Saccharomyces cerevisiae S288C: one gene and its partners. The gene in region 1 interacts genetically with each later gene. Each region holds a gene or a part of one and is shown on either strand. Other genes may lie near its edges.

Region 1 (7,287 bases):
AGGCCTTGGAATTGGTACTAGAAGAGTTGTCGAGTTCAAATGGCGGAATGTAGTATCGTCTGTAAAGAGAGATTCATATCCTAGACCTTTTTTATAAAATGGATTACGGGAAACTTTATTGTCACCTGTGTCGCAGGCTAATATAACTTCTGGATCAAATGAAACTTCTAATTTATCCCCTTTATTATTAGAAGGCTCAATATATCTAGTATGCAATGTCACTTCATTCATTGTGCCGGCTTTCAATTCAAAGATACTTTCAGAACCCCATGCCTTATCTCGAAGAGAGTATTCTGGTAATTCTAAGTCGTCTTCTCCAAAAAGTAGTAAGGGAGAGGATTGGAATTTATCGATAAATAATTCTAACGGCAATTGCAGGTGCATTAGATACATGCATTTAGGGCGTTCTTCGAAATCTGTGAGATCAATCATGATTTTTGGATGCAAACCGATAGGTTCATTCAGATATAGTGATGTCGTAGTCGTCGAGTGATTGTATGCGATATGGCCCTGTTTATACAATAAGGATGTTTTCTGACATCTTTCCATTTTACCATCGTCCATCCTCCAATTACAACGTATTCCACCAATATCGACATCACTTTCATCACTTGCATCCACAAAGAATACACCTACTTCGAGTTTCTCATCTTTCACTCTTGCAATTGTAAATTCTTCACCCTGTTTCAACAGACGATATTCAACAATTTGGATTTGTGTGGGCTCCACTGATATATCATATGTAAAATCTTCTGGATTCCATGACAGATTCAAATCTACTTCGGGAGGCAAGTACTGCTCTATGTCAAACTTCTCACTGTGAAATGAATTGTAGACTGGGTTAGTAATAAACCTTTCCGGCACATCCGAAGAATTTGAGTAAACTGAAAAGCCAGCACTCAGTTCATTTTCTATAACGCTTAAACTTCTAGCCAAGTCCGCTCTGGGCCTCCAAGTGATTCTCGTAAAGGATTTATCCAAGCTTCCAGTCCTCTCTAATAGCCACCTTTGTTGTAAAACCACACCAGAACCTCCACGAACAGTCAAATGAGTGTCATTTTGGCGCATATGATTACCGATATCCTCAGGGGCATTGTAGAGTACAGTCACTCTATGTCTTGTCACCATTACTCAGCTAGAAACGCACACTTCTTGCGTTTATTCTCCTCCCGATTTGATTATGATTAGCGTTTCCATTATTTGATCTTTTTTATCAGGGGGATCTTCAAAGAAAGGAACTTTTTTTAGGAAAAAAAAAATAATCATCTTTTATTACATGTGTAATACTTCAAGCAATCATAAACAAGAGTTAAGAAGGCAAAGTTCTGCTGTTAGTGTGTCCTCCAATACTCTTGCACGACAAAGTTTTAGTTATCCCCTTCTACGTGTATTGTTCCTCCGTGGTCGATTGTGTTCAAAGATTGGGAGCTCTTTTCGTGTTTTGCACTAAGAGCATACTGTTAATCCGCAAAGGCCACTAAAACTTACCTGCATTTGTCTACTTAAAGATACATTCCAACTATTTACATTCATTTTTATTTCTAAAAGAGCATTCTGAACCCTCGGCAATTATTTCATACTCCTTCTCAGAATAGGAAAATGCCCAATACGCATACTCAACATGTGCAAATATCAGAGCCAAATCCTGTAAATACTTTGTCTACACCATCCAAAAGAGGTCACCGCCATCGCAGATCGCTAGCAATATCAGGAGATTTTGATTTTTTGAAACAGCCTGCAGCAATTGTGAATTTACCACCTCCACAGGCGGCTGAAAATTGTCCTTCAACTGCCCCAACTGCTGTATCAAGTACATTATCGCCAATACGCTACAATAGATTTCCTTGCAAAACCAATGAAGACGCTGGAACGTTAGATTTGCCTGAACCAAGATTTTATCCGTTATCACCAAAGAACAATCTGCAAACACCAAGTCCACGATTTTTCATTAGTGAAGAGCCAAGTTTTTCATCGCCAGTTAAAGGCGTCCCAGATGCCATTATTAACCTTGACGATGCGTTGAAGACAAGGCCTAGGTCATTTAAATCACATAGAAGATCTGAATCCGCTCCTCCTGATTTGGAGGTTATGGTAGATAAGGGCAATTGTGCAGCCGGTTCTAACTCTATGATTAAAGAAGAAGAGGACTCCTTAATTGAACCAGAATCGAAAAATGAATATTATGAGCAAAAGCTTCCAACAGCACTATTATCCCCACTGCGGCCTTCCCTTTGTGTATCTGAACAGGCCATTGATGTAGATGATTCAGCTCTCAATGGGTCACCGACCCATCACAACCATGGGATGCAAAACGCCAATGCACGGAATTCCAACACATTCAATTCGTTGAAGATCAAAGGCCAAAAGCAAAGATATTATCATTATACGAAGCAGCTACCTTTGACCGTAGGCTGTGACTCGCAATCTCCAAAAGAACAAAGGTCGGCTGCTTCAATGACAATCAATCAGGCAATGACACCTTCTTCCCTGGCCTATACCCCTTCTAAACTAGCATCTACTCCCGCAACACCAGTATCCTTTTATGACAGCAATGCGGACATTAACTTAGAAAGTGATAATTTTCCACTAAAAGATAACCCTAGATATGCCAAGGATGGTTATCCTAAAAAGTGCGGCAATTCACAGCTTAATCGTGTGCTGGATAGCGATAAAAGACAGGATTTTAGTGGAGAATCGAGAAGAAGAAGATCGGGCAGTCCTATCTCCCACATGCAACACCGCAACCTGATTGATAATATGAAAGGTAGACGAAACAGTAACACGATAAACTCAATCTTCAACTACAAGAGTCAACATTATGAAATGCCATATGATGATATGATGAAAAATGAAAACATTAATGCACAGTCCATGCCCTTTTCAGTCAACGGTGTCAACAATGAAAATAGTATCGGAGGGGTTATTACGAGAGCGGACGATGCACCCCTTCAACACTCTGTGGTCAAATCCTGTACGCCTGATGGCAAGGAAGAAATGAATAGGCTTAAAAGTAATGACAGTAATGAATATTCCAAGTCTGAAGGGCAGATCAGAACCAATTCGCAACTAAGTAAGGACATTCTCATGGGTGAACCAGGTGATATGGTTGATCTGTCCTCTTTTGTCAACGCGCAGAGAAAAGCCTCAAATGAAACTGGTGACTTAGTCTTTAGTTTATCCCAGGATGATGACGCACTGAAAACGTTCCATGCGAGCAACAGCGCAGCAACAAGCAATGAAAGCTGGTGTATTAGCGATGATGCGTTAGGAAAGCAGGCGCAGGACAGTGAAGTTAGGAGGAAAAGAAAATCCAAATTAGGACTCTTTAGACATATTTTTTCAAGGAAGTAATACAACAATATTAATAATAAGTAATAAAAAGGTGAATCGTAACCTTAACGGCATTGATTGCATGTAGTTTTAATAATAAAGTGTAGAATAATAAATATAAAATTTCAAAGTCATCAGAAATAAAAATTGAATAGACATATACATATAGAAATTACTTCTATCATTTAAATACATATATATACATACATGTATACGTGTATACTTGTACTTGTGAAGGACTCAATAGTTGTATTCGTTTGGTTTTTGACCAGAAGTGTTTGGGAAACCACATTCCAATAAGATATCGTTAATCAATTCAGGTTTTTCAGTAATCTTGGAGAAAACTTCATCATTTTTGGTTAAGATCATACCACAATAACCTGTGGAGTTGAAACCTATCTTCATTTCATCAGAAAAGGCCTTCGAGCGTGGAACGACACAGATCCATTCCTTGGTTAACATAAGATTGTAGGATTTCTTTAGTTCTGGATTTTCGTTCAACCAGTCCTGGAAAAAGGTCAAAGCTCTTTGCAATATGGAGATGTAACACATAGCTAATAGGTCTTCATCAACAGTTTCTTCAGACTCCGGCATTGGCAAGACAAAATGAGCGAACGAGACTTTAGCATCTTGCAAAGGTTCAGTATTGAAAGTTGGTAGGAAATGTTCTTTACCATTACATAGTCTATCTTGGAAAGTGACGAACTTTTCAGGCATTTGCAGAATTTGCAAATGTTTGTGGTCCAATGAAGAACCACTGGCTGGACCAGAATTGTAAAAGACCATGTGTCTCTTGTCGGATTCTTCATTGTCCAAGGCACACAGCAACTTATAAGCAGTCAATAAATCGGTTGGGGTCAAGGCATCAGTTTGATGTTGGTATTCGTTAGTTACCAATAAAGTGTGTTCAGGGATTACAGGGAATTTGTTTAATAGCAATTTATACGCTTTGTTATCGGCACCACCAAATTCTGGGATAACCGTTAATTCTTCCTCAGGTTTGCCTAGTGGATCCTCTCCTTCTGGAGTTTGGCCACGCTCTGGCTTTTCGATCAGACTTGGCATGTGACTAATCAAGTATGGCATGCTGGTTTTTGGGTCCTTTGTTTTCGTTGTTTCAGTCTGGATAAATTTTAAGTTACCATTATCGAAGGCACTTTTGTACTTGTCACTAATTAAAGATGCAATGTCAGCGGGGATACTCATTTTTATTTTAATTTTTACTTTTCTGTTTGTTCTAAAATCTATCTAAACTGGCTTTCAAGATCAATCTATTGTCTTTTAAGGTAAACTTTAAATTGGAAATAATAGTAATGTTAGTTCCTTCATTTTAACCTTGTATTGTATTTCCTTTGCGTGATGAAAAAAAAACTGAAAAAGAGAAAAATAAGAAAATCTTCTAGAACGTTCCGAAACAGGACACTTAGCACACAAATACAGAATAGGAAAGTAAAAGGCAATATATGAATGCAGTGCTTGTAACTGGTGCTTGTATCCAAGAATAGCTTCTTGCTGTAGGTTATGGGAATATCGTGTAAGCTGGGGTGACTTTTGAGCTATTCGCGACGCCCGACGCCGTAATAACTACTTTCGACAGACCACTTATGACAGTATTTCAGGCCGCTCTTATAAAATGACATGTTAACAAACAGTTCTGATTATTCGCCTTTTGACAGGACGATAATGTAAATAGTTGTGGTAGTATCATTCAGGTATGTAACTGTTTACTTTGTATCGCTTGAAAAAAATAAGCATTTCAGAGCCTTCTTTGGAGCTCAAGTGGATTGAGGCCACAGCAAGACCGGCCAGTTTGAATGCTCAACTCTTCAAAAGAAATTCCTCAAATATGTCCAGTTTCATGTACTGTCCGGTGTGATTTATTATTTTTTATTTACTTTGTAGTTCTTAAAGCTAAGATTTTTTTCTTTGATAAATTCTTGTTTTCATATCCTAAAATTAAAGGGAAAATAAACAATACATAACAAAACATATAAAAACCAACACAATAAAAAAAAGGATCAAATACTCATTAAAGTAACTTACACGGGGGCTAAAAACGGAGTTTGATGAATATTCACAAGATAAAAATCATATGTATGTTTCTGATATATCGATATACAATCAAACACTTTCAAGAATTTGTTTGTAGACTTTTTGCTAGAGACCTCATCAAAGTGCTACCAACTAAGATCAACTTATACTTCTTTTAGAGAAAATTTTTTTCAATGTACTCCAAAGAGATTTAGATCCTGTCTCTTCCTCTTCCTCTTCCTCGAAAGTCAAAGAAAAATCAGAGTCTCCCTGCTTATTCAGGCGGAGAGGCTCTAGGGTAGTTGCGTTTCTCTCATTGGGACACTGAACCTCATTTTCCAACATTTTGGTCATGTAAGAGGCGACAGGCTCATCGCAGGTGGGTGCATCAACATGGTAGTACCTGGACCAAGCGCTACATTGAGTCCCTCCTGGATAAACACCGCTACAATATTGTCTTTGGACGTTTGCCCAAACCATATCTTTTGAATACCAAAGCTGGACCACATTGTATGGCCTAATCATTGGTGCTACCATAATACTGGATTGGGAAACAGTCTGGTTAATTTTTTTCAACCAATTTTTCTTATCTAGCAATGATTTAATAAACCTGAAATCTAAATTGTCTTCGTTAGCGTCTGTGTCATAATCTACAATTGAGTACTGTGACGTCCAATTATATGGCACCGAGATGGGGAATCTGTCCGGTGTTTCGTCGCTGTTATCCTTCTCCTCCCTCCAAATGCAGTCAGAGGCAGGTGCCCATTCGGTTCGCCAGTCTCCGTTATTTACTACTTGGTACTGTTCCCAATCGTAATACGTTTCCTCTGGGTTGAAGATACTTGCTCTGCTCTTGACATTGCCCATAGCCACACCACGAGAAACATCGTGGAAGATTACGGAGCTGTTTACGATAGCAGGAGCAATGGATTTGACGAATGACACTTGATAAAAGTCTTTGGTCGAAAATACAGTATCAACGCCGTCGTGGGACTCGACCCCTGGTAGAAGAAGCAGAGCATCTAGATCAACGGTAGATGCTGCAGAGGTCAAAGCCACAAAGAGGGAAGATGCAGTTACGAGGTATTTACTAAACATTGGTTCGAAGTGATTACAGATTTTTCTCTCTTGAACCCTGGAATTGCAATAGCTTGGTTCCTATTGGGACCGGACCCTCTTGCGTAAAGTATATATTTAGAAGCAGCTATTTAAATCTGAATGCAAGACGAAAAAAAGCTCGTTTATAGGAGAAAAATACCAAAAAAAGGAAAACCATACACATTCGGGTATCCCAGCTTTGCTTGCAAAATCAATCGATGAGCAAGACAAACAGGGCCAGCTGATGCATATGTTTTGTGTTGCTTTCCTACGATCAGCTAATGCGAGTGTTATAAATATTCCCCTAGTTTTCTTCTCCTCCTTTATGTAACAATAACTTGTGGACTTCCCCAACATAAGACTAAAAGCAAAGGGATAACAAGGGATTTATCTTATTCCATCCCTTTGCCTAGCGCACTGTTACGCAGCTGATCTTATCAACAAGTGTGGTTCTTGCCTCTAAGATTTACATTGCCTTTTCCCAAAGGGAAGGTGGGACAAAACTCATTTTCCCTAAGGGGAAACGTAAGATACCCTTTAGGGAAGATAAGGGAAGTTAGTAGATTGACGACGTAAATCTGTGATGAGATGAAAAAAAAAGATTAGCATCTATATAAGAAAGTACATAACCTCCATTTAAGTTGAAAAAAATTTGTATGTAATGTCTTTTCTTCCTCTTTTCTTTATTTCATTCTCACCGCTAAATCGATAACGGCTAAAACAATTAAAGCTCCCTTTTCAAACCTTATACTTCCGTTAAATAATGCAAATCAAAAACATTGTCGCTGTTCTAGCTACAGTCACTGCTATCAACGCCCAAGTTGGCAT
Region 2 (7,850 bases), on another chromosome or scaffold:
AGACACACCAAAACACGCAATGAACAGAGGAGATAGAGGGATTCGTTAGAACGAGTTGACATTCCTTATCATTTCTCCCAACTTTCACGAGCTGATGCTTTACTATAGGTATTGTCTGCTCTGTATTATAGCCGCCTACATTAACTTCCAGGTGAGCAGGAGCTACGCCACCTGCCATCTCAATATCATCTTTGGTTGCAAGGTTGCAGCTATACAACGGTCTCATTCCGCTCTTCTTCTTTCTGTTGTATATTTGGTCCTTAATAAAATTTGAAACGTACAAGAGCACTCCAGAAGGAGCTCAAGTAAAAAATTAGTCAAACCTCTCCCTTTTATACTTGAATGAATGAAATAGCCGCCGAAATTTAGCCGCCATCATTCTTCTTTTCCCCGGCTAAATTACCACGGTATGCTTTATGATTGGAAAATACCCATAAAGTAGGAATAAACTACAAATGATTCCACTTAATGAAAGATAAGCAGACAAATATACTGCATATAAGTGAAAAATAGTGAGGAGATCGCTATCAGTCAATATTGTGAAGGACCTACCTACTCTTTTTCTAGATATATATTTTTTATTTGCACAGGACCCCTCTTGCATAATTGTTCCTACTAATACGGTAGGTAGCACACAATTTTACACCACTTGCTTTACAATCATACCTCATAGGGCCTTCTTATTCTGATAATGCCCCTTTTAGAATGGCTAAACTGCTTACGTCCCGCTTTCTTACGCACTGCGCGCAACATGCAGGAAGAACAAACAACCTCGCCCTGTTTCCATAATGAAGGTCCTTGAAATAGAAGCCCCACAAAAGGGTGGAAATGTGGCAGAATAAACAGTAAGCTAACTGTTGTAGAGACTCCAAGCCCTGGTAAGGAAAGAAATATTATAAAAATAAAAGATTTCAACACAGTATTTTGATGTCTGAGCCAAACACACCATTACATGCTCAACCGAATGAGCAACTGGACTTGAACAACTTAAATGATCTAGATGAAAAAGACATTGATGATTTAAACTTGGATCCAAACTCAGATGTAGAAATTAGTGCAGACTCAGGTGATGTCGTAAATTCTAACATAGACAACGTTATATGGCAGCGTAATTGTAATAAGAAAAGAAGATATCATACACCAGAATTCAATGATGTTTACAATGAAACTAACAACACAATCAACGACGTAACTATGCTCGATGATGTTGACGATTTCCAGCCTAGAATAAACGTGTCTTCTCCCTTTTCGTCTGCCACAAAGCTGAGTGAATTATTGCCAAATGATCACAATGGAACGTCACACCCGAGAAGATTGTCAATGTCTCAACAATCCAAATTCATCTCTTACGTTGATGATCAGCTTTTACAAATTCAAAGAAAATTTGTTCAATCCAGGGGCCTGAATATCAAAAACGGCTATGCCAGTCTTACTCCGCTGCTGCAGGATTTAAAAACTTTAGTTGACTTCGTTTGGTATTCTATTGCCCATGTTCCAAACTCAGACTATTTACTTCAATCAGAAGAAAAGAGACATTGCCCAGATTCCCGAAACCCAAAAGATACATGCGGATATTCTAGTTATTTTGGTCAAGGGTCCTATTTAATAAAAATTGCGGACGATCTCATCGATTACGTTGAAAAATTTACATTCAAAAATATGGAAGACTCAGAGATTAATGACACTTTATCCAAATTATTCAAACTCTTCTTCATCCTTGACAGGATATTTGTAATTCTAACTGATGATAATGATAATTGCAAAGAAGTCCCTAAAACGTCTTCAGCCAGCAAGAACATAGCAGGATTGAATGGGACTGATATTGTGAGGTTAAAAGGTATCGCGGAACGAACAAGAGTTCGCCTACCCATATTTTTGGAATCCCAGGGTATCCATGGTTACCATTATGAATTAAGCAAGATTTACGAGGGATTTTTAGACCATGCCAATTCATTTTAACATTTACATTCAACCAGTGGCGTGTATCTTTTATACAATAAATCTGTAACTTTTAAAACTTCTGTTTCCGAACTCCTCATTTTTCATGCATAAATATATAAATATATATATATATATATATAAAGCATACATTTCAGTACCATGGGGTATATGATCCTCCCATTACGTATTCTAAAGTTCGCGTTTTCTCACAATGCAAGTTTTTATATTACTCCGGAGAGTTGGCGCTTACTGATACAGCCTTGTATGAACTCAAGTCCAATATCACAGTGACATCCTTGGTAATCTTCGCCAAGTTGGCTAGGTTAGGTCTCAGCTCATTCAAATTAGGCACGTCGCTCATTACGATTTTAGTATTAGCCAGAATTGATATTATTACTTTTAAGAACGAATTCATTATCTCCCACGTTTTCAGCTTCTCCAAAGATGTCAGATACTTCTCTGAATTTGAATCGTTCGGTATTAATACATTTAACCTTTCATTCAATTGTTTGGATAAATCCATCGCTTGACGACATGTTTCCGTCAAATCACGAATTTTAGGTGCTAGCGAGTCCGTCAAAATTTGCTTTCCCATGGTGCTAGCAATGGCTATCTTGGATATCTCTGAAGTTAACTGGTTATATACAACGCTCACCATTTTAACTACTGTGGACAACGTTTGATACAGTTGAATGTCAATATTTGTCTCCACTACATTAGCACTACTGTTCGCGGCACCACCACCATTCATCGGTGGTGGGGTTATATTAACATTCGAGACGTTATTACTATTTGATGCGTTAATTATTGAAGAAGTCATAACCGGATGCTGTTTAGGTTCATGCGCCTGTGACTCTTTTTTCGAATCGCTGATGGATTTATTGTGCTGAAGCAGCTGTTGCCTTGGAATAGTATCGCTAGTAGTTTTTACTTCATTCATGTTCGTTTGAGAACTTCCATTGCTTATTGCATTTTGGTGTCCCAAAATTGGACCATGGGTGTGTGCACCATTTAGATTTGGTGATAAAAGAGGAACAGCAGTGGTATCACCCGTCAGAATATTACTATTTGAAAGCAATGCAGATGCAGATGGTGTTCTTGTGCTCCTTGTTTTCGGCAGTAATTTTATGTTTCCGCTACAATGTGTACTGGTCGTACTTGCTGCGGGTCCTCCACCGCTTGTGATACTACTGGACGATGTCTCGTGCCTCGAAAAAGAATGTTTCTTGGGTGCCTTACTTGCAGAACCGGACACTTGATCATCTTCTTTGATAAAAGACCATGCATTATACATTTCCATATAAGCACACATTAATGTCATATAAAACATCCTTATGAAGCATAGATCGTCTTCTTTGAAAAAAATCTCAAAATTTTTTCTCAACAATGTTATAATTTGTTTAAAATTTGTGATGATAGTGAGGCACAGCTTGATTAACGCCTGATCATGCGATTCGTCTTCGTTCTCTGTTTGCTGCAAGACCTCCACCAGATTATCAGTATGTGATCTGACAGAGTATAATAATGATACTACATTAACCGCTACGGCCTTCTCTTTACAGAAAGAGGCGATTTTTCTGATAGCTTGTTGGCATTCTGTAAAACTAAATAGGAGCTTCCGACAGGAAACAACCAACTCTGCATGCGATATTTTTTGATGCCCGTTACTCATTGACTCTTCTGGTAAAATCGACAACCTCTTGAAGTAGTCATTATATTTGGTGTGATTGTATAGTTCCGTACCATTCACTGCCCCACTTTGTTCTGATTCTGCATTGACTGTACCACTGAAAGATGTTGCAGAGGTTTGATTAGATGAGACCATTGCAGTAGATGCACTTATAGTTGTATTTGCACTTGGGGCAAGTGAAATTATATTGTTTTCATTCATTGCTCCATTAGACAAGTTCGTATTTATGAATCCCATTCTTTTCGCTGCTCTAGATATTTTAGGTTCTGGAGTAGGTAGGTTAGGATGATCTTTTAGATATCGTGATATCGCAATTGCCCAATATTCTTCTTTGGGGATGCCCGTATGAAATGGAGTATAACTCTGTACTTGGTCAAGCTCTTCTTTGGGTATTTTATTATCCTCTAAATCCAAGATGCTCAGCTTGTTTAATTTTGTGATCGATTTCAAATTACGTATGCTAGTAACGTTGTTGTCTTTCAATGATAATACACGAATATTATCTTGCCAAAACGATGATATTTCATCTGGCAATGCTTCAATCTCATTGGAGGACAGATCCAAGATCTCTAATTGAGGGCATTGTGTCAAAATATATGGGATTTCTTTAAAATTGTTATTATGCAAATCCAGATATTGCAGCCTTGATAACCTCTTGAAACTCGCTGGTAAGGATGTTAAGTGATTTTTCCTTAAAGACAGTCTTTCAACATTTTGGATATATCCCACATCTTCATCTGATATGGACTTGATATTAAGAGCTATTAATTTTAGTGTAGTACCACTAGAGCTGGATTTCTCTTGTGTTGCCAACTCAGATATTATAGTGTTGCTTGAATTAGTGGATGTTTTGTCAGCAGGCAAATGTTCCTCCTTCGGATCCAACGTCCTCTTTGAAGATGTCGCTACCATACGTTACGGATACTTATAGACTTAACTCCCCCCAATAAGTTCAGGTGAAAAGTAGCATGGAGTTTTGGCATTAACTTTATTTGCCCACTTATATTTAGAGATCTTGAAATACTTTTTGTTACCCGACTTGTAGCTTCATTTTTTCATTTTTTTTTTTTTTTTTTATTTTTATTTTGTATTGTTCTTTGAAAGAATCATGCATGGAAGCAATAACTATTATACGGAAGTTATATACAAGAAATCATTATATAGTTACAGCATCATATGTGCAGAAAATTGGTTCTGAGCTTTTCTTATTGTCTTCTTATGACAAGTGTATTAAGTCAACTTTTCTGGAACAGTAATTCCATCACATTCTTTTAAAATTTGAATATCCTTAGGGTTGGGACGAAAACCCTCATTAGTGCCTAAATCTCGCATAAACTGGTTAATAAAAGCAACCTCTTTGTCAGATAACTGCTGAGTATTGCGTGCAAATGTGGCCAAGTTGAATAGAATTTTCGAAACGGCCAAGTTCGACACCCTGATACTTGAATCCTTAGCTAGATTGTAGTACTTTTCGATGTAGGGAACGTACTCGCTATGTTTACTCTTGTAAAGTTTATCACAGAACCCCAATAATAAAGCATTTAGAGGCGTATTATCCACGTTTCTCTTTCTAGTCTTTTGATATGAGAGAAAATCAGAAAACAAATTCTTTGCCTCGGCCACTGTGCCGTCAGGCTTATTAAACTCTGCGGAAATAAAGTCTGCATAATTCCTAGCATTTAAGTGAGTTCCCAATTGTTTGTAAAGTTGACGAATCGGCTCGACAGTGGGGCACACTGAAATAAAGGCTTTCGTAATCTTTTCAACCTTTTCATAATCGGTGGGATTAATGGAAACACTTTGCAATAGATCGAATTGTGGGCGTGTATCTTCTGCCTGAAATTTATAATTAGCGTACATTTTAATGCTTAGAGTATCCAAAGTAGGGGGTAACACACCATCTGATGGATAATGGTTATAGTAAAATGTGTTGAATTGTTCTTCGCTCACTTTTTCATCATCTAACATTAGCAATAAAACTTTATTGAACAACTTCTTGGTTTTAACAGTCTCTGCTAACTCCCCTTTGACTTGGTCATACTTTAGAGGCGAAGTTTGACATAAGGCCAGGAGAAATGCTTCCTTCACGATGGGATCTTTCTTGAACTTTTTAGGAAGTTCTTCTTCCCAAAATTCCTTTAAATGGTTGAAATTTCCAGAATCAGTTAGTGCGTTAACTAGCGTCGCATAAGATGTGTTTTTAATATTATCTCCTGGTTTGATAACACTGTTCCAGACTGCTAGAATTCTGTCCAACTTCTCTTTACTCGATTTAGCTCGTAAGTGCGACACAGCTCTTAAAAGACAATCTTTCAGCGACGTACTATTTGGGAAAACCTTGCTATACTGGTTATAAATAGTAACAACTTGGTCGGGTTTATCCAAATCAATAAACTTGTCCATGAACTTGCTTATGATCTCTACATTTTTCTCACCTTCAAGTTTATTGTATTGGCCATAAAGATCCCTTAAATCTATCCATCTAGGAGCATTTTCAATTTGACTTAAGAAATGATCACTATCCTGTACTGTGTATTGATAGTACAAAGTGTTTAGATTTTTGATAATCACGTCTCTTCTTTCAAGAGAGCTAAATTCTGTACTTAACATTCTTCTAATCATGTTAAAAGGTAAAACCTGGCCCATTTTACGATCGATCTGTAAAATCTTATACAGAATATTGATATCCACAGTATTCTCTGGTAAAGATAAGTAAGCAATGGTGGTAATTGCAATATTTTGCATATGTGCACGAGAAGAACTATTTTGAAGTAAGATCACTGGGTTTTCGGAAATGGTTTCCAAGTACTTCACCCATAAGGCAATAACGTCCTGTGGTGATTGATTATATAGAAGGTACTTTAAAACAATCGTGAAATGTTGTGAGCGTGCCAATTTGTATTGGCACAATGTGTTTAATACTTGATAAGGATCTAGCGTCATATTTTTGCTTCTGTAACTTAATTCCTGTAGGAGATCCGAAGAAAAATTCGCTAACAAGTGTGATCTTTCCATAGGTGAAGGGTTCCTTAATTTCTGTTTCAACGATTCAATCTTATCTTTAAAGTCATTAAAAACTTCATTGATATCTGAATCTGGAGCTTTCAACTCGTTCTTCAAATCAGCAGCCAAATTTTGTACCCTTTCAAACGGTGAGACGTGCTTTTCTCTATTTCCTGAATGTCCATCATCTGTTTCTTGTAAGTGAACGCTGCTTTGTTGGTATATCGATGTTGAAGAGGTTAGACATCTTCGTGAAATAATCACCTTTGAACAATCAAAGGCCCTTAAAGCATTATGGGAAAGCATCTGTATCCCAGTGGAAGGCTCTGATATTATTTTGTGCAGAGCCAACTTAAGCAAACATATAGACAGTACGTCCTTAGTTAGACATGTGTAGCAATTGAACGATTCCACAGGCGGTATGTATATCGTATATGATGATATTACATTTTACTTACCCCGCTTTTTCCCTCTTATAATCGATTAATTACTTAGTCGACGAGCAACCTTTTATGGCATATTTGAAAGGTAATACAATGTTCCAACTTCGTTTTTTATTCACAGATCAATTAACGTATTGGCACACCTGATATTTCCTCAATAGTAAGTAGTTTTGGTGATGTAACTTTGACACTACCTTCGACCGAATATTCACTTATAAAACTTATATATTACTTGCTTTTACTTCTAACTTGTCTGGAGAGTTCAATCTTTGTTTTCAGCTCTATATACCGGTTTTCTGCATCGGCGGCTAAATGGTATTCTTTTCCGCTTGGCTCTACACAATGTTTATTAAGCTGAGCGTCGGTGTTTCCGATTTGGACCGTTTGACTTTCTTTTTGGACTGGTTTTCTTTTTTAGTACGAGGTGTACGGACAAAAGATACTAACGGACAAAACGCGGTTGCAACTGAAATTTTTTTTTCACTATTTTCGTAGGGCACATTGGTGTAAATATATATATATATACTCAAGGTTCATCTCGTTTTTTTTAATATTCTTGTTCCTTACTCTTGATCATACGTAGAATGTATGTCTTTATCCTGAAAGTAAAGAAAGGATTATACAATGCTGAAATGTTAGTACTAAATATGAGCATACAATCACTTGTTGTTCACTAGTTCAACGAGTTTCATTCATATTCAACTCACGCAAGGGATTATGGAAGAAGAATCCTTTTTATGAAAGGGAAAAAAAACCGAAATACTATGTTAACT
Region 3 (7,884 bases), on another chromosome or scaffold:
TGCTTCCAAGATACCTTGCGGGATGAAATTTACAAGGGAAATTAATATTGCAATAACAAATGCCCAAGCTGGGAACTTAGTATCGAAACAGCACACTGCTACAAATCCTAAACCGATCATGACAATCTGCAAAAGTAAATACCACCAATCGGGACAATCCTTATAGTTCTTGGAGTAGATTCTCATGTGAATGTCAGTGCCACCATTTTTACGGTCTTTAAACTTGGCGACAATATCTTTACCGTGGTATAAGATGCAGTGGACAAAAACGGCGATAACAGCGGCAAAATTTAAAGCATACGACAAAAGATAGGAAAATGGAACGAATACCGGTGAGTATTCCTTATATTTCTCAAGATTAATGGAATAATCCTCGTTAAGAATCTTTGTTACGTTGTATTTGTTTTGAGTGTTGTCATAAGTAGAACCTGAAATGACGGGCATGTATTTGGCATACCAGGTATTCGTAAAATAAAGACATGGCAGCACTATGACGAAGAATATCAACACTGATGCATAGGTGTTGGCGGAGACGTAGAATGGTGTGGCGAAAACAGAGCCGGACATGGCTTGGGAAACCTGGGTGTAGTCAAATGTAATTGGCAACGCACCGAGACCACTTTGAGTACCAAAGATTGTGTTAGCGATGAAATTGTGTCTTGTCTTCGACCCCCATAGGATAACGTTGAAATAGGACAGACCGGTAAAGAGGAATCCAGGTACCCAATACCAGATGAACGATCCGATAAGGACGATTAAGAAGAACCTGTAACGGGGCATCGTCCAACCATTTGCGACTGTCTTTTCAACTTTTCTCGAGTGCAACGAATCAAACAAGGACACTGAAATTAAAGTCTGAGGCCAGATAGAGCTTGCAGGGTTGACGACCCATCTTCTGGTAAGACCTGCAGCACCATAACCAATCATTTGAGATGTCCAAACCAACAAGAACTGATATCCGACATTAAGTTTCATGTTGTAAAAGCTTCCCTGGGCGTTCAAAATGTACATAGCGTATGCAGTAGAGGAAGTAAGCGCCACGGCAATTGTGACCACGGCGTGTTCCTTTTTGGTAAATGGGCCCGGGTTTAAATCGAAAAATGGCACTTTAGAACACTTCCAGTCGGGCAAGAGAGCCAGTATCCTACCAATTGGGTAGCAAACAACTTGTGCAACAAGGAAGTTGATCTCTAGCGATGGATATCTCAGGGAAAAAAATTGATTAACACCGGCGAAAACTACCACAAACACCGTGGTCAAGAACCACGTTCTCCAGTGGTTGAGGCGGATGGTGGGGTCATCCTCGATGGACACCGCCGATCTCACTTCAGGATATGGAGAATTGGGCAAGTATGTAGGGTCGCCCTTCCAAACGAGACCTTCCTCCTGTATGGAATGCCTGTCGAATTTTTGGCTTTCCGGATCGCGGTCCTCCTCATCAGTAGTCGCAGTGAGATTATTGACGTCCTCGTCAATATTCTTAACGAAAGCATCTTTCTTTTCCTCTTCCATATTGATCTGGATAGGAATGGTTGTTGGCGTTGGCGAGGGCTCCGACTCCAACGAGTCGCTCTCCCTATAAATGGTACTCATGTGTTCTGTGACGTTATATAATTGTTGCGGTTATTTTCTGCCACACAGTCGAAAACTTTTTACCAAGAATACACAGCTTCCGATGATTGTCCATATATAGTCGAAACAATTCATTGAATAGCCCAAAATTTGAAAAAAAAAGAAAAATGATGGGCACCCCATGATGATAAGAGCTCTCTTTCTTCAACAACGATTGCTAAGGCGTTTACAGACCCATCGACTGCCCTTGCAGTGGGTTTGATGTGATTAACAGGCAGCAGCAACAAGCAACTGCTGAAAACCTTGGTGCCTTGCAGACGGCTATTGTCCTGGATTTTGTGTGACAAAACGTAGATGTGGCGTCTTGTAGTCGGAGGTGTGGCGGGCCGGAAAAATAGTGGAAAAAAAGAAAATTAATGCGATAGCGACGGGCAGGTAGGGAGGTTTGAGGGGTCCGTAGTATGCGTCTATCGTTGCAACAAGGGTGACTAATGCCATGTCTTGGCCTTTGATGCAACGTCTCGGAAGTTAGTATCGATCCGAGGAGTGGAACGGATGCGATTTCCCCTCCATTCTATCGATAAGGTTGCTGGGAAACGCATTATAAGGGATGAGTGAAGACGGAGGGAAAGCATAACGAGGAGAGATTGCCGAGATAACTGAGAAGACGTAATCTAAAGGCAACGCAGCATGTCTCGAGTTGCACAGCTCGACTCGATAGCGCTTGATAAAGAATTGTATGGACAGTTTTGGTCCGAGTTCAATGCAGCATTCAATACGAGTGAACACAAAGAGGAATGGGAGTTGGCACTGAACACAGTTGTGTTTATGTGCGCGACGAGGTTCCTGCCACACTATGGCTCTAGCTGTACGTATGGATCCGCACTCAGTGGCGTGGTTTTTCAGTGCAGGAAACGCACCTTGTATGTCGTCACTGTCTTGGCAGGGTACGTGTGGAAGAAGATCACACATATTATTTTTAATGGGCCGCACTGTGGGAACCAGATGATGTGGCTGAAGCTGTACAAATGGGTTAATTTATTGTATCACGGCTGTGATGTAACCAACTTCCTGAGGTTTCTAGCAGCGGAAGGGCCCAATGCGAGGGCGTTTTTGTCGCCGTTATACCGGGCTTTTAATGTCCATTCCACAAGGTTGATTCGGGATGGTTCTGCAATTGCCTCTGAATTTTATTCGAACTCTGTATTCGCTGGGTTAGAATACCAGAATAGACAATTGCTATGGAATGCACTATTAGAACTCTTTTCCAATACACTACTTACGAAAAGAGGACTCTTGACCTTTGTTAAAAAACCACCAAGGTCTCGTTCTACGACTACTTATAAGACAGTTTGCCCCCGTTGCGGCGGTTTTCCAACCAACCCATACCAGATCGCTTGTTGTCGTGCGAACTACTGTTACGTGTGCGTTGTAAAGGCGTTGGAGTGGTCTATGTGCGATGCCTGTGGATCCTCTGGGAGACTGACCGCCTCACCAGTGTACTAAAGGGCCCCGTTCCCTCGCTTGTATCTCTATATATGTGTATACTATATTCATATTCATGTTGTCAAAATCGGTCACGTGGTAAAGGGTCTGGTTTTTTTTTTTTCACTTTCTGCTCAAGAAAAAAAAGAAACAATAAAGAAGTGGTATAATATCATCATGGAACGCTGTACGGGACGATGTGGGAAGCGACGTCTGAAATCCAGTAATAATAAACAGTGAGCACTTTAGGATAGCAGTAGTTTGCATTTTGCACGTTTCCCTTTCCATGCAATGTTTTTACCTCGTCTCGTTCGGTACAGGACCGAGAGGTTTATAAAAATGGTACCTACCAGGACCTTGCGACGAATCAACCACAGCAGCAGGGATCCAATTCAAAAACAGGTCTTGGCCCTTATCAAAGCAAATGCGAATTTAAATGACAATGACAAGTTGAAAATACGGAAATATTGGTCTGACATGGCGGACTACAAAAGTCTTCGGAAACAAGAAAATAGCTTACTGGAAAGCTCTATATTACACGAGGTCAAGATCGAAGATTTCATCAGTTTCATCAATCGCACAAAAACCTCATCTATGACTACAAGAGGAATTTATAGAAGAGAATGTTTGTACCAATGCAAGAAAAACTTGGATCTAGTCAATCAAGTGGTCTCCCAAGTTTCATCCGTAAGACATCAAAAGCCCTTGACTACGCAATTGGATACTATGCGCTGGTGTGTTGATGATGCCATCGGCACAGGAGACATAGTTATGGCTGCCGACCTTTTCCTGCTGTACTACAGATTATTTACAGATGATAAAAAGCTAGACGAACAATATGCTAAGAAAATAATATCAGTATTAGCGTACCCAAACCCACTGCATGATCATGTTCATCTAGTCAAATATTTACAACTGAACTCTCTGTTCGAAAGTATAACCGGAGGCGGAATAAAGTTAACGAGGTTTCAATTAGAAACTCTTTCTAATAAGGCCCTCGGCTTAAGTAATGAAGCCCCGCAATTATGCAAGGCTATACTGAACAAACTGATGAATATAAACTATTCTTTGACTAACGATTTGAAGCTTCGGGATGATCAAGTGCTGCTTGCGTACAAGTCCATTGATGAAAATTATAGAAGAGGAAATGTTGCAAGTGTGTATTCTATTTGGAACAAAATCAAAGAGCACTATGTTTCCATTTCTGCACATGATTCCAGAATCATTTATAAAGTCTTCAAGATTTGTACCCATAATAGAGCCTATAGATCTATATGTAGCGAAATGTTTTGGCAATTAACTCCAGAGTACTATTGTAATAACCCTTTGATATTACCGGCAATTATTGACTTCATTACAAAGCAAGACTCTTTAACAATGGCCAAGGAACTCATGCAGAACATTAACAGATACACTTTACCCGAAAACCATCATATTGTCTGGCTTAACAAGAGATGTCTTTCTTCATTGCTAAGAATGCATTTGAAATTTAACGATTCTAACGGTGTAGATAGGGTTTTGAAGCAAATAACAACAAATTTCAGGGCGCTTTCGCAAGAAAATTATCAAGCAATAATTATTCACCTTTTCAAAACACAAAACCTCGATCATATCGCTAAGGCAGTCAAATTACTCGATACTATACCCCCCGGACAAGCAATGTTAGCCTATGGGTCAATAATTAACGAAGTAGTTGATTGGAAATTGGCTTCAAAGGTCAAGTTCACCGATAATTTGATGGCACTTGTAAACGATTTGTTGACGAAGGCACATGATTTTGATCCTGACCACAGAAACTCTCTTTGGAATGTGGTTTCCGCTTTATACATTAAAAAACTTTGTCATTATAAAAAGCGAGATGGTAAATTTGTTGCCAATGCCAAGAAGGATATCGATTTGGCAAAACTACTTTATATAAATGCTGCAAAGAGAAGTAAAACATACTGGACAAAATCGAACTGTAACCCATTCATTGCATCCTCCCCATGTGATGTCAAATTAAAAGTGAATAATCAAAACAGGTTTACTATTTTAAGGAATATTGCATTAAGCGCACTGCAGATAGGAAGAACAGACATTTTTCTTTGGGCGTGCGCAGAACTATACCAGAACGGTATGACGATTGAGGAATTGAAGTTAGACTGGAATTTCATCTTAAAACATCAAATTAGAAATTCAGAGTTCAAAACAAACAAGGAGATCATACAAGATATTAAAAAGCATGGTGTGTCGGCTGTCAAACGTTACTTAAGATGAACGGCCAAACGCACATTTACGATATAAATAACAAAGCAAATAATAACAAAACAAATTTCTGTAAATATATACTAAATCCAAGCATTGCATCCTAATTCTTTTCTTTTTTTGATCATCAAATAAATGTATTATTTTATGTTATATGCGTTAGACTTGTTATATTCTTTCATGCTATTCTATCGTTGTGTTATGAATTAATTTATATTTACAGTTTTTCAGTACATTCAATTCCTTTTTTTTGGAGGAGGTAACAATTTCACATCTTTCGATTGTTTGATCGCCGCGTTAGAGAAATCTCTCACTACAATTTGACAATTTACCTCTTTGCATAATGCCTTCTTCTTTGAAGGTGGTACTTTTTGCAGAAGTTCTAGCCCAGTACTTCTCTCTAAAGCATCTATAGGAACTTCAAAGTCAGTCAATTTCGTCTCATTTGATATCGGTTCGTTTGGCAATACAAATGCCGCGACAGCAATATCCTCTCTAGCAGGATTGGCTGTTGGTGCTTCTGCAACAATCAATTTAAAAAAGTGCGTTGGAACAGCAATACTGGGTGGATTGCCAATAACTTCATAATTAACCCTAAATTTATTATCTATGGGATCCTTTTTGGGTAGATACAATGGACCAGTCACGATTCTTACACTCTTATATTTCTTAGTCAATCCCCTACAAAAGTACTCCAAATGCGCCCAATAGTCTCTATTAAAACCTTCTCCTACTTGAGGACACATATTGGATAAGTAGAATGTATCATCCATGGCCTGTTGAGAAAATTTTGCGTCTGCAGCTGGGGCTTGATGGCCTCGATCATAGCCCGACCTAAAATAGTCTCTTAGTTTACCTCTAAACTTTTCTGGAATTACTTCATCTTCCTTGAAAAAGGAATTTTTTCTGTCAGCATTCCTTGCAGCCAATGATTCTGGCGTTATATGTTCGAGGACCCAATAAGGATTTTGAGTTTGTCTGTTGTAACATGAGATAAACTCTTCGCGGTTCTGCAGATCATGAATCGGACCAGGAAAACCATACTTGAAGAACCCGGAAGGATCGACGTTGAAAGAGTGAGATTGAATATTACTATTAGGTTTCTGGGTAGGTGGATAAGGTGTCTCAATGATTTGCGTTGGAGAATGTTTGTTCAAAAGAAGATAGGTTAAGCCAGTACCAGCACCCAGTCCGACTAAACCGGACAAGAGTATCCTACTGCACATGATAACTTTAACTTTGGGATCTAATAAGTGGGGAACTTAACTAAATGTTCTTATCTTTATACAATTGTAACTCTATAAAAACTAACAAATTACTTGATGAGTGACCAATAACCAATTGCACCATTGATATTTTTTCACAGATTTTATTTTTTTTTTCTTTTTTCGCGATGAGTTTTATTTCCGTGCATATGCATCCGACTTGCAATTAGTCGAAAGATTTCAGTTGAAAGGCCTCTTCGACAGAGCCCAAAGACTGCGATTTAACGTATGCCTCCATCACGGAACCTATAATTGCTTTTTGTTGAGGACTTATAGTGCTAGAAATGGCTTCTTTAAATGAATTTTTGTCCAATTTAGCCAAAGCAACTATGCCACTTGCTACTTCGTTGTCTATTTTCTCTGTATATGCGCTATGATATGCGGCAAAGAAAGAAAGACATAAAGCAATTGACAATGATGCCTTTTGGTGATCTTGTTTGATTACTTCCTCGGAAAACTGAATTATCAACTTAGTTTTAATGCTTGCCTGCGATAAGGAATCGTTTGTTTGAATATCTTGAAAGAATCTTTTTATAACCAACTTCATAAAATACTGCAACAACGGGTATTTGAAAATATTAGATATTATTCTCTTGAAGCCTTGTAGAGCAATTGGCTGCGTAGCAGGATTATTCAATGCCTCCGAGAGAATATTTGCGCACTGATTCAGTTCCTGAAAACTTAGCTTAGAGTATCCATTAGACAGCAAGATCAAAATGGTTGCAACTTTATTCTTTGAATCCAGCTTATGATAAATAACATCTTTTATTGACCCGTAGAATATTTCTAGTAACACAATATTTTTTTCGTCCTCAGATTCCGTAAGCGCTTTTACTAGTGCCTTGAAAAGTGGGAGTATGATTGGAATTATTACTTCACGATGACTACATTCATAAATTTTCCCTATGATGAATAAAAGACATGAATAAAGATCTACTTTGAACATATTGTCGAAGTTACTGATATTTGATTCGAACGCAATAAATGTTTTTTTCAACAGACTAATATCTGTGGGAGAGATTTTTATTTCATTATCATCTTCTTCGCTGGTAAGCACGTTATACTTAATAAATGGCAACCTCTCAGAAATAATTGTCATCAGTAGTCGCAGTAGCTCATATAGTTTGTCAATATCTTGTAGAAATGTTTCAGGAGTAGCATTACACTTCGAATACCCAATGATCAAGTCACTGATGATATCAACAAGCAAAAATTCTTCTTTACTGTCGCCTGTAGAAATCAGTCTGTCCATAATCTCAACAACTTCAGTAATAATATCATCCTCAAATATACTTTTTATGCACAGATTGCTCTTCAA
Region 4 (7,781 bases), on another chromosome or scaffold:
AATATAATTGCATCAGACTGCCTAATTTGAAGAGTAGTTAGCTCCGAAAGGTACGAAACCTCCATTTGATTGGTATCAAAAACTTGAACATCAATACTGGTGCGTCTTTGAGCAGTCGATTTATTGGCATTGATCAGGCGCTCTTCTAGGAAATTGCCACAACTTTCATAAATTGTGCCAGAGTTTTTAGCTTTGAAACCCGCATAATTCGGCAACTGTCCTTTTACGCCAAAGGTACGATAGTATTTTACCAAAGTATCAAATTGGATTGTCTTGTGGTAGAGGTCCGAAACCCTATAACGATTAGCATCTGATATTTGAAATGAACTACCTAGCCAACTGCGAACCAGAGAAGTTTTTCCAGAATGATCATCCCCCATTACAGTAATCTTCGAAGATTTCAAGTCGAAACATCTTGGGATTGACGCAAGGCTTGCGCCGTATGATAAGCGAACACTCATAGCGTTTGACCTAATACGGTATAATTAAAAGAAAAAAAGACAAAAAAATAGGATAGCCAACACAGAGCAGAACCTTAACAATTTCTCTAGATACAATTTACATGCTCAGCGTTTCTTTATATACATTCTCCCTGTATATATTCCTTTGAAAATTTCTTAGATTTTTTTGAAATTAAATAATAAGTAACGAGCCAAGATCGTTAAGGTAAGTACTTGAAAAGGATTTTTCAAAGAAGGCAAGCATAGACGATCTCTACGACATTTTTTTTTGCCCTTGATGTTCTTATGAAAAACAACTTCTACAAGTTGTACTTATCAGAAGTGCAAAAAAAAAAAATTGTTTAGACGACAAAAATAGCGTTTAATAATCAAGGTCATGGCTTTTAAACAAAGCGTTAATCTTAATCCCTATATCTCCTCTAAAATGGACGTAGCTTTTACAAAGGGATATTACGCTTGAGTATCCCTTTTGAAGATCGTTGCACCATTACGTATTAAAGCATTTTTTTTCCTCCGTCAAGATCTTACCCGAATACTGCTGCAGGACATACAAAGCGCACTGACATGACGCAGGAAGATTGATTAGAACCGTCCGCAAAATTTTCTTTGTTACAGCATTAGTAACGCATCACCTCCTTCTCAAGCTAGGGCACTTTTAACTCATAAAGCGACACATTGCCTTTTCAAATATTGTAGCTTTTCAAATCACGCAATGGAATATTTGCAGCATTCATTGTTCCGTCAAAAGTAAAATTTATTTTTAGTACTTCAACGTGGAAGGCAAACCTTGCCTTATACCTTTACATGGATGGTTTTATGCTATTGTGAAACGAAGTCAAAAGGCTAAACAAAAAGATAAAGGAGGGGCATATTATCGGACCACCTCGTATAGCAAGAAAGGGTACTTATCAAAAGAAAAGGTCGCTGAAAATCGAGCCCCTCTTGAGAATTTGATTTTCATACATATCCCTTTTCTCTTCCGGGTTAAAGCCTTTACATAAATGTGTCATTGTATAGCATTACTTTTTTTTTGGTGTGAAAAAAAAATCGGAAAAATATTCACAGGGTAATGCTGAGATAGCTTTTCTTACCCTCCTTGGAATTTGGAATATTTCGAGATTTCATCATTTAGCCCAAAAGGGTAATTGCGTAAACATTTGTAATTTCTTGGTGTATTTGTTTTGATTGTTCATTGTTTATGACCAGCTACTTTATTCATACTCTTCCACACTACTTTTTTTTTCTTGATTACATCTCGAATCCTGCGAACTTCGTGGTTAGAAGATCATAACAAAGTTAGACAGGACAACAACAGCAATAATGACCGGCGGGCAGTCTTGCAGTTCTAATATGATCGTCTGGATACCAGATGAGAAAGAAGTTTTCGTAAAAGGGGAGCTGATGAGTACCGATATCAACAAGAATAAATTTACAGGCCAAGAAGAACAAATAGGAATTGTCCACCCGTTGGATTCCACAGAGGTTTCTAATCTAGTGCAGGTACGAATATCCGATGTATTTCCAGTTAACCCATCGACTTTTGACAAAGTAGAGAATATGTCTGAGTTAACCCATTTGAATGAGCCGTCTGTGCTTTATAACCTAGAAAAGAGGTACGATTGTGATCTAATATACACCTATTCCGGCTTATTTTTAGTGGCGATTAACCCTTATCACAATTTGAATTTATATTCTGAAGACCATATAAACTTGTACCACAACAAGCATAACAGGTTATCAAAGAGCAGATTGGATGAAAACTCCCATGAAAAACTGCCGCCGCATATATTTGCAATTGCAGAAGAAGCCTATGAGAATCTTTTATCTGAAGGAAAAGATCAATCTATTTTAGTCACTGGTGAATCCGGTGCGGGCAAGACAGAAAATACGAAAAAGATTCTACAATATCTAGCATCTATAACTTCTGGCTCTCCTTCCAATATAGCTCCTGTTAGTGGTAGTTCTATTGTAGAAAGCTTCGAAATGAAAATTCTACAAAGTAACCCTATCTTAGAGTCTTTTGGTAATGCACAGACTGTACGAAATAACAACTCTTCAAGATTCGGTAAATTCATAAAGATAGAATTTAATGAACATGGTATGATCAATGGTGCGCATATCGAGTGGTACCTTTTAGAGAAATCAAGAATTGTTCATCAAAATTCGAAAGAAAGAAATTATCATATATTTTACCAACTATTATCCGGTTTAGACGATTCTGAGTTGAAAAATCTACGCCTTAAATCTAGGAACGTAAAAGATTACAAAATTTTATCCAATTCTAACCAGGATATTATACCAGGAATCAACGACGTAGAGAATTTTAAAGAACTGCTCTCGGCATTGAATATTATTGGGTTTTCAAAAGATCAAATAAGATGGATATTTCAAGTAGTGGCAATTATTTTATTAATCGGTAACATTGAGTTCGTATCAGACAGAGCAGAACAAGCATCTTTCAAAAATGATGTTAGCGCAATTTGTAGCAATTTAGGCGTGGACGAAAAAGATTTCCAAACTGCCATATTAAGGCCTAGATCAAAAGCCGGAAAAGAGTGGGTTTCACAGTCCAAAAACTCTCAACAAGCTAAGTTCATCTTGAATGCCTTATCAAGAAATCTTTATGAGCGGTTGTTCGGATATATTGTGGATATGATTAATAAAAACTTGGACCATGGGAGTGCAACTTTGAATTACATTGGATTGTTGGATATTGCTGGTTTTGAAATATTCGAAAATAATTCCTTTGAACAATTATGCATCAACTATACAAATGAAAAATTACAGCAGTTCTTTAATAACCATATGTTTGTTTTAGAACAGAGCGAATATTTAAAGGAAAACATTCAATGGGATTATATAGATTACGGAAAAGATTTGCAACTGACGATTGATTTGATCGAAAGCAAGGGGCCACCGACCGGTGTACTACCGTTGTTGGATGAGGAAGCCGTTTTGCCCAAATCCACTGATGAGTCATTCTACTCTAAACTGATCTCAACTTGGGACCAAAACTCTTCAAAGTTTAAACGTTCAAGATTAAAAAATGGGTTCATTTTGAAACACTATGCTGGGGATGTGGAATACACTGTGGAAGGCTGGTTATCCAAAAACAAAGATCCTTTAAACGATAATCTCTTGTCTTTGTTGTCTTCTTCACAAAACGATATCATTTCAAAACTGTTCCAGCCAGAGGGCGAAAAATCTTCTAGTGCTGGTGTGGAAGCCAACATCTCCAACCAAGAAGTTAAGAAATCAGCTAGGACAAGTACCTTCAAGACTACATCATCACGCCATAGAGAACAGCAGATAACATTACTAAATCAACTAGCTTCTACCCACCCACATTTTGTTCGTTGTATAATTCCAAACAACGTGAAAAAAGTGAAAACATTTAACAGAAGGTTAATCTTAGATCAATTACGTTGTAATGGTGTGCTAGAGGGTATTAGACTTGCCAGAGAAGGTTACCCAAATAGGATAGCATTCCAAGAATTTTTCCAGCGGTATAGGATCTTGTATCCTGAAAATTCAACCACCACGACTTTCAGTTCTAAATTAAAAGCCAGTACCAAACAAAACTGTGAGTTTCTTCTAACGTCTTTGCAACTGGATACAAAAGTTTATAAAATTGGTAATACTAAACTGTTTTTCAAAGCTGGAGTATTGGCAGATTTGGAAAAACAAAAAGATGTTAAGCTGAATAATATTATGATTAAACTAACAGCAACTATACGAGGTTACACAGTAAGAAAAGAAATAACGTACCATCTACAAAAATTAAAGAAAACAAGGGTGATTGGTAATACCTTCAGATTATACAATAGACTGGTGAAGGAAGATCCTTGGTTTAATTTATTTATCAGGATCAAGCCACTTTTAACATCATCCAATGACATGACCAGAACCAAAAAATTCAACGAGCAAATTAATAAACTGAAGAACGACCTTCAAGAAATGGAATCTAAGAAGAAGTTTTTGGAAGAAAAGAACCAAAAAACTGTCAATGAGTTGGAAAATACGCAGGACTTGCTAAATCAGGAGAAAGAGAATTTAAGAAAAAATGAGAGCTTATTAAATAGAGTTAAAACCAGCTCAGAAACATTACAAAAACAATTCGATGACCTTGTTTCTGAAAAGGATGAAATTAGCAGGGAAAAACTAGAAGTTGCGCAAAATCTTGAAGAAGCTCATCAAAAAATCCAAGGCCTTCAAGAAACTATTAGAGAACGGGAGGCGACCTTAGAGAAATTACACTCAAAAAATAACGAACTAATAAAGCAAATATCAGACTTGAACTGTGACATTTCTAAGGAACAGAGCTCCCAGTCTTTAATCAAAGAATCTAAATTGAAGCTAGAAAACGAAATAAAGAGATTAAAAGATGTCATAAACTCGAAGGAGGAAGAAATAAAATCGTTCAACGATAAGTTAAGTTCCTCAGAAGAAGATCTTGACATAAAATTGGTCACTTTAGAGAAAAATTGTAACATTGCGATGTCAAGACTACAATCCCTTGTAACAGAAAATTCAGATTTGCGTTCGAAAAATGAGAATTTCAAGAAAGAAAAGGCAGCACTGAATAACCAGTTGAAAAATAAGGAAAGTGAACTGTTAAAGATGAAAGAAAAAATAGATAATCACAAAAAAGAGCTTGCTACTTTTTCCAAGCAAAGAGATGACGCAGTTAGCGAACATGGTAAAATTACTGCTGAACTAAAAGAGACAAGAATCCAACTTACCGAGTATAAATCTAACTATCAAAAGATTAAAGAAGAATATTCCAACTTCCAAAGAGAAACGAAGGAACAGGAGCAAAAGAAAAGAAATAGCCTGGTTGAGTCTCTGAACGATAGTAAAATTAAAGAATTGGAAGCTCGGTTGTCACAGGAAATATCCTTAAATCAATACTTAAACAAAAGAATATCAGGAAATTCTGTAGAAACGAATATTTCGTCTACTAGACGTTCCACATCGTATTCAGATGATCCACTTGACAAAGAAGATATAATAAAAAAATACTATGACCTTCAATTAGCGTTTACTGAAATAACTAGGAATCTAGAGAATGAAATTGAAGAGAAGAAGAACTTAATTTCTAGATTGAGATTCACTGAAACAAGACTAGCATCTTCGTCTTTTGAGGACCAAAAGATTAAGGCACAAATGAAGAAATTAAAAAAATTGATCCAGGATATGGACCCTAGTATTCCTTTGGACAGTATTCTAAATGAGCCGCTAGATAACTGCCCTGACAAAGAGTCTGATATTAACAAATTAATGCTTGAGGTCGATTATTTAAAAAGACAATTGGATATCGAAACAAGAGCTCACTACGATGCAGAAAATGCCATATCTGCTTTACACAGTAAATTTAGAAAGATCCAAGGGGAAAGCTCCCTGTCATCTTCTGATATTTACAAACTGAAGTTCGAAGCCAGTGAAGAAAGAGTCAAATCCTTGGAAGACAAGCTAAAAACCATGCCTTTACGTGATCGAACAAATTTACCTGTCGGAGATATTATAAAGAACCGTGATAGCATTTCAAAATATGAAGAAGAAATTCGCTATTATAAACTTGAAAACTACAAGCTCCAAGAAATATTAAATGAATCAAATGGAAAATTGAGCCAACTCACTCTTGACTTGAGGCAATCAAAATCCAAAGAAGCCCTACTTAGTGAACAATTAGACAGATTACAGAAAGACCTTGAATCTACGGAACGCCAAAAAGAACTACTATCATCCACAATAAAACAGCAGAAACAGCAATTTGAAAACTGCATGGACGATCTGCAAGGGAATGAACTGCGGCTAAGAGAACATATTCATGCACTAAAACAAGCTGAAGAGGACGTAAAGAATATGGCGTCTATCATTGAAAAATTGAAAACTCAAAATAAGCAAAAGGAAAAGTTAATCTGGGAGCGCGAAATGGAAAGAAATGACTCAGATATGCAATTACAGGAAACTCTGCTGGAGTTGAAGAGAGTCCAAGATGTAAAGAAAATCCTGAGTGATGATTTGGCCCATTTAAAGGAGCGATTGAGCGCTGTAGAAGATAGATCCCAATATACGGATGAGATTAATAGATTAAAGGAAGAATTGAACTGCTCTTTAAAAGCTGAAACAAACTTAAAAAAAGAATTTGCAACCCTTAAGTACAAACTGGAAACTTCGACTAATGATTCTGAAGCAAAAATCTCCGATCTGCTGAAGCAGCTCGATCATTATACAAAAGTGGTGGAAATGTTGAACAACGAAAAAGATGCTATTTCTCTTGCAGAAAAAGAACTTTATCAGAAATACGAGGCACTCAATACTGAATGCGAGTCTCTTAAAGGAAAGATAGTGTCTTTGACTAAAATCAAGCAGGAACTGGAATCTGACTTAAATCAAAAGACTGATGCGCTACAGATATCAAACGCAGCACTCTCAAGTTCCACACAAAAGAATAAAGAGATTACTGAAAAAATCAAATATCTGGAGGAAACACTACAACTGCAAATGGAACAAAATTCAAGGAATGGGGAGTTGGTTAAGACATTACAGGCCAGCTGCAATGGATATAAAGATAAGTTTGATGATGAGAAGCAGAAGAATATTGATTTATATGAAGAAAATCAAACTTTACAAAAGCTCAACACCGACTTACAGCTTCAACTAAAAAATTTGCATGAAAGATTATCAGACACTACTGAAAAAAACGCATGGTTATCAAAGATTCATGAATTGGAAAATATGGTAAGCCTAGAAACGGACTTGAAATATGAAGAAATGAAAAAGAACAAGAGTTTGGAGAGAGCAGTGGAAGAGTTACAAACTAAGAACTCCCAACAAACAGATGTAATAGAACTAGCGAATAAAAATAGAAGCGAATTTGAGGAAGCTACTTTGAAATATGAGGCTCAAATCTCTGACTTAGAAAAGTACATTTCTCAACAAGAGCTTGAGATGAAAAAATCCATTAGAGATAATTCTTCTTACCGCGACAAAGTGCAGGAAATGGCCCAAGAAATTGAATTCTGGAAAAGCCGTTATGAATCTACCATGATAGGCTCGAAAAATATTGATAGTAACAATGCACAGAGTAAAATTTTCAGTTAACGAACTTTTTTTTAAAAATTTGGAAGACTTTATATCCTTTATTTAAAAAAATAATGATGAGATGTTTTGTATATACAGAATGAGAATATGCATTATTAACAGAAAAAGACGACACGAGCGTTATATACTAAGTGGCATGAACTCTTTCACCCCGTATCCTTCGATAGTAGTCTTAAAGGTGGTACATAAAATAAAGAAAATAACCGATTCAAT

Evidence for each region.
Region 2: mutations in LRE1 (region 1) and SOG2 together harm fitness more than expected from each alone (negative genetic interaction), as found in Saccharomyces cerevisiae (one large-scale study listed by BioGRID).
Region 3: mutations in LRE1 (region 1) and CBP1 together harm fitness more than expected from each alone (negative genetic interaction), as found in Saccharomyces cerevisiae (one large-scale study listed by BioGRID).
Region 4: mutations in LRE1 (region 1) and MYO1 impair growth when combined (synthetic growth defect), as found in Saccharomyces cerevisiae (one study listed by BioGRID).

Annotation. Positions count from the first base shown.
Region 1 is NC_001135.5:34,266-41,552, forward strand, and holds LRE1 (Lre1p), read left to right. Parts: upstream 1-1,599; coding exon 1,600-3,351; downstream 3,352-7,287. Other genes in the region: PBN1 (Pbn1p), read right to left, coding at 1-1,128; APA1 (bifunctional AP-4-A phosphorylase/ADP sulfurylase), read right to left, coding at 3,571-4,536; YCL049C (uncharacterized protein), read right to left, coding at 5,521-6,459; YCL048W-A (uncharacterized protein), read left to right, coding at 7,223-7,287. UniProt on the Saccharomyces cerevisiae protein: Overexpression affects chitinase expression, cell separation and budding pattern, and increases trehalose accumulation and heat resistance by inhibiting protein kinase CBK1.
Region 2 is NC_001147.6:996,286-1,004,135, forward strand, and holds SOG2 (Sog2p), read right to left. Parts: upstream 4,544-7,850; coding exon 2,168-4,543; downstream 1-2,167. Other genes in the region: serine/threonine protein kinase MEK1, read right to left, coding at 1-226; TFIIH complex subunit TFB6, read left to right, coding at 928-1,959; MSC6 (Msc6p), read right to left, coding at 4,862-6,940. UniProt on the Saccharomyces cerevisiae protein: Required for proper cell morphogenesis and cell separation after mitosis. Functions in the RAM (regulation of ACE2 activity and cellular morphogenesis) signaling network and is required for proper ACE2 localization and CBK1 kinase activity.
Region 3 is NC_001142.9:34,657-42,540, forward strand, and holds CBP1 (Cbp1p), read left to right. Parts: upstream 1-3,348; coding exon 3,349-5,313; downstream 5,314-7,884. Other genes in the region: oligopeptide transporter OPT1, read right to left, coding at 1-1,593; PEX2 (ubiquitin-protein ligase peroxin 2), read left to right, coding at 2,263-3,078; NUC1 (ribonuclease), read right to left, coding at 5,538-6,527; AP-1 complex accessory protein LAA1, read right to left, coding at 6,733-7,884. UniProt on the Saccharomyces cerevisiae protein: Responsible for conferring a stable 5'-end on cytochrome b mRNA.
Region 4 is NC_001140.6:149,885-157,665, forward strand, and holds MYO1 (myosin 1), read left to right. Parts: upstream 1-1,781; coding exon 1,782-7,568; downstream 7,569-7,781. Other genes in the region: YHR022C (uncharacterized protein), read right to left, coding at 1-461; YHR022C-A (uncharacterized protein), read right to left, coding at 1,333-1,422. UniProt on the Saccharomyces cerevisiae protein: Required for cell division.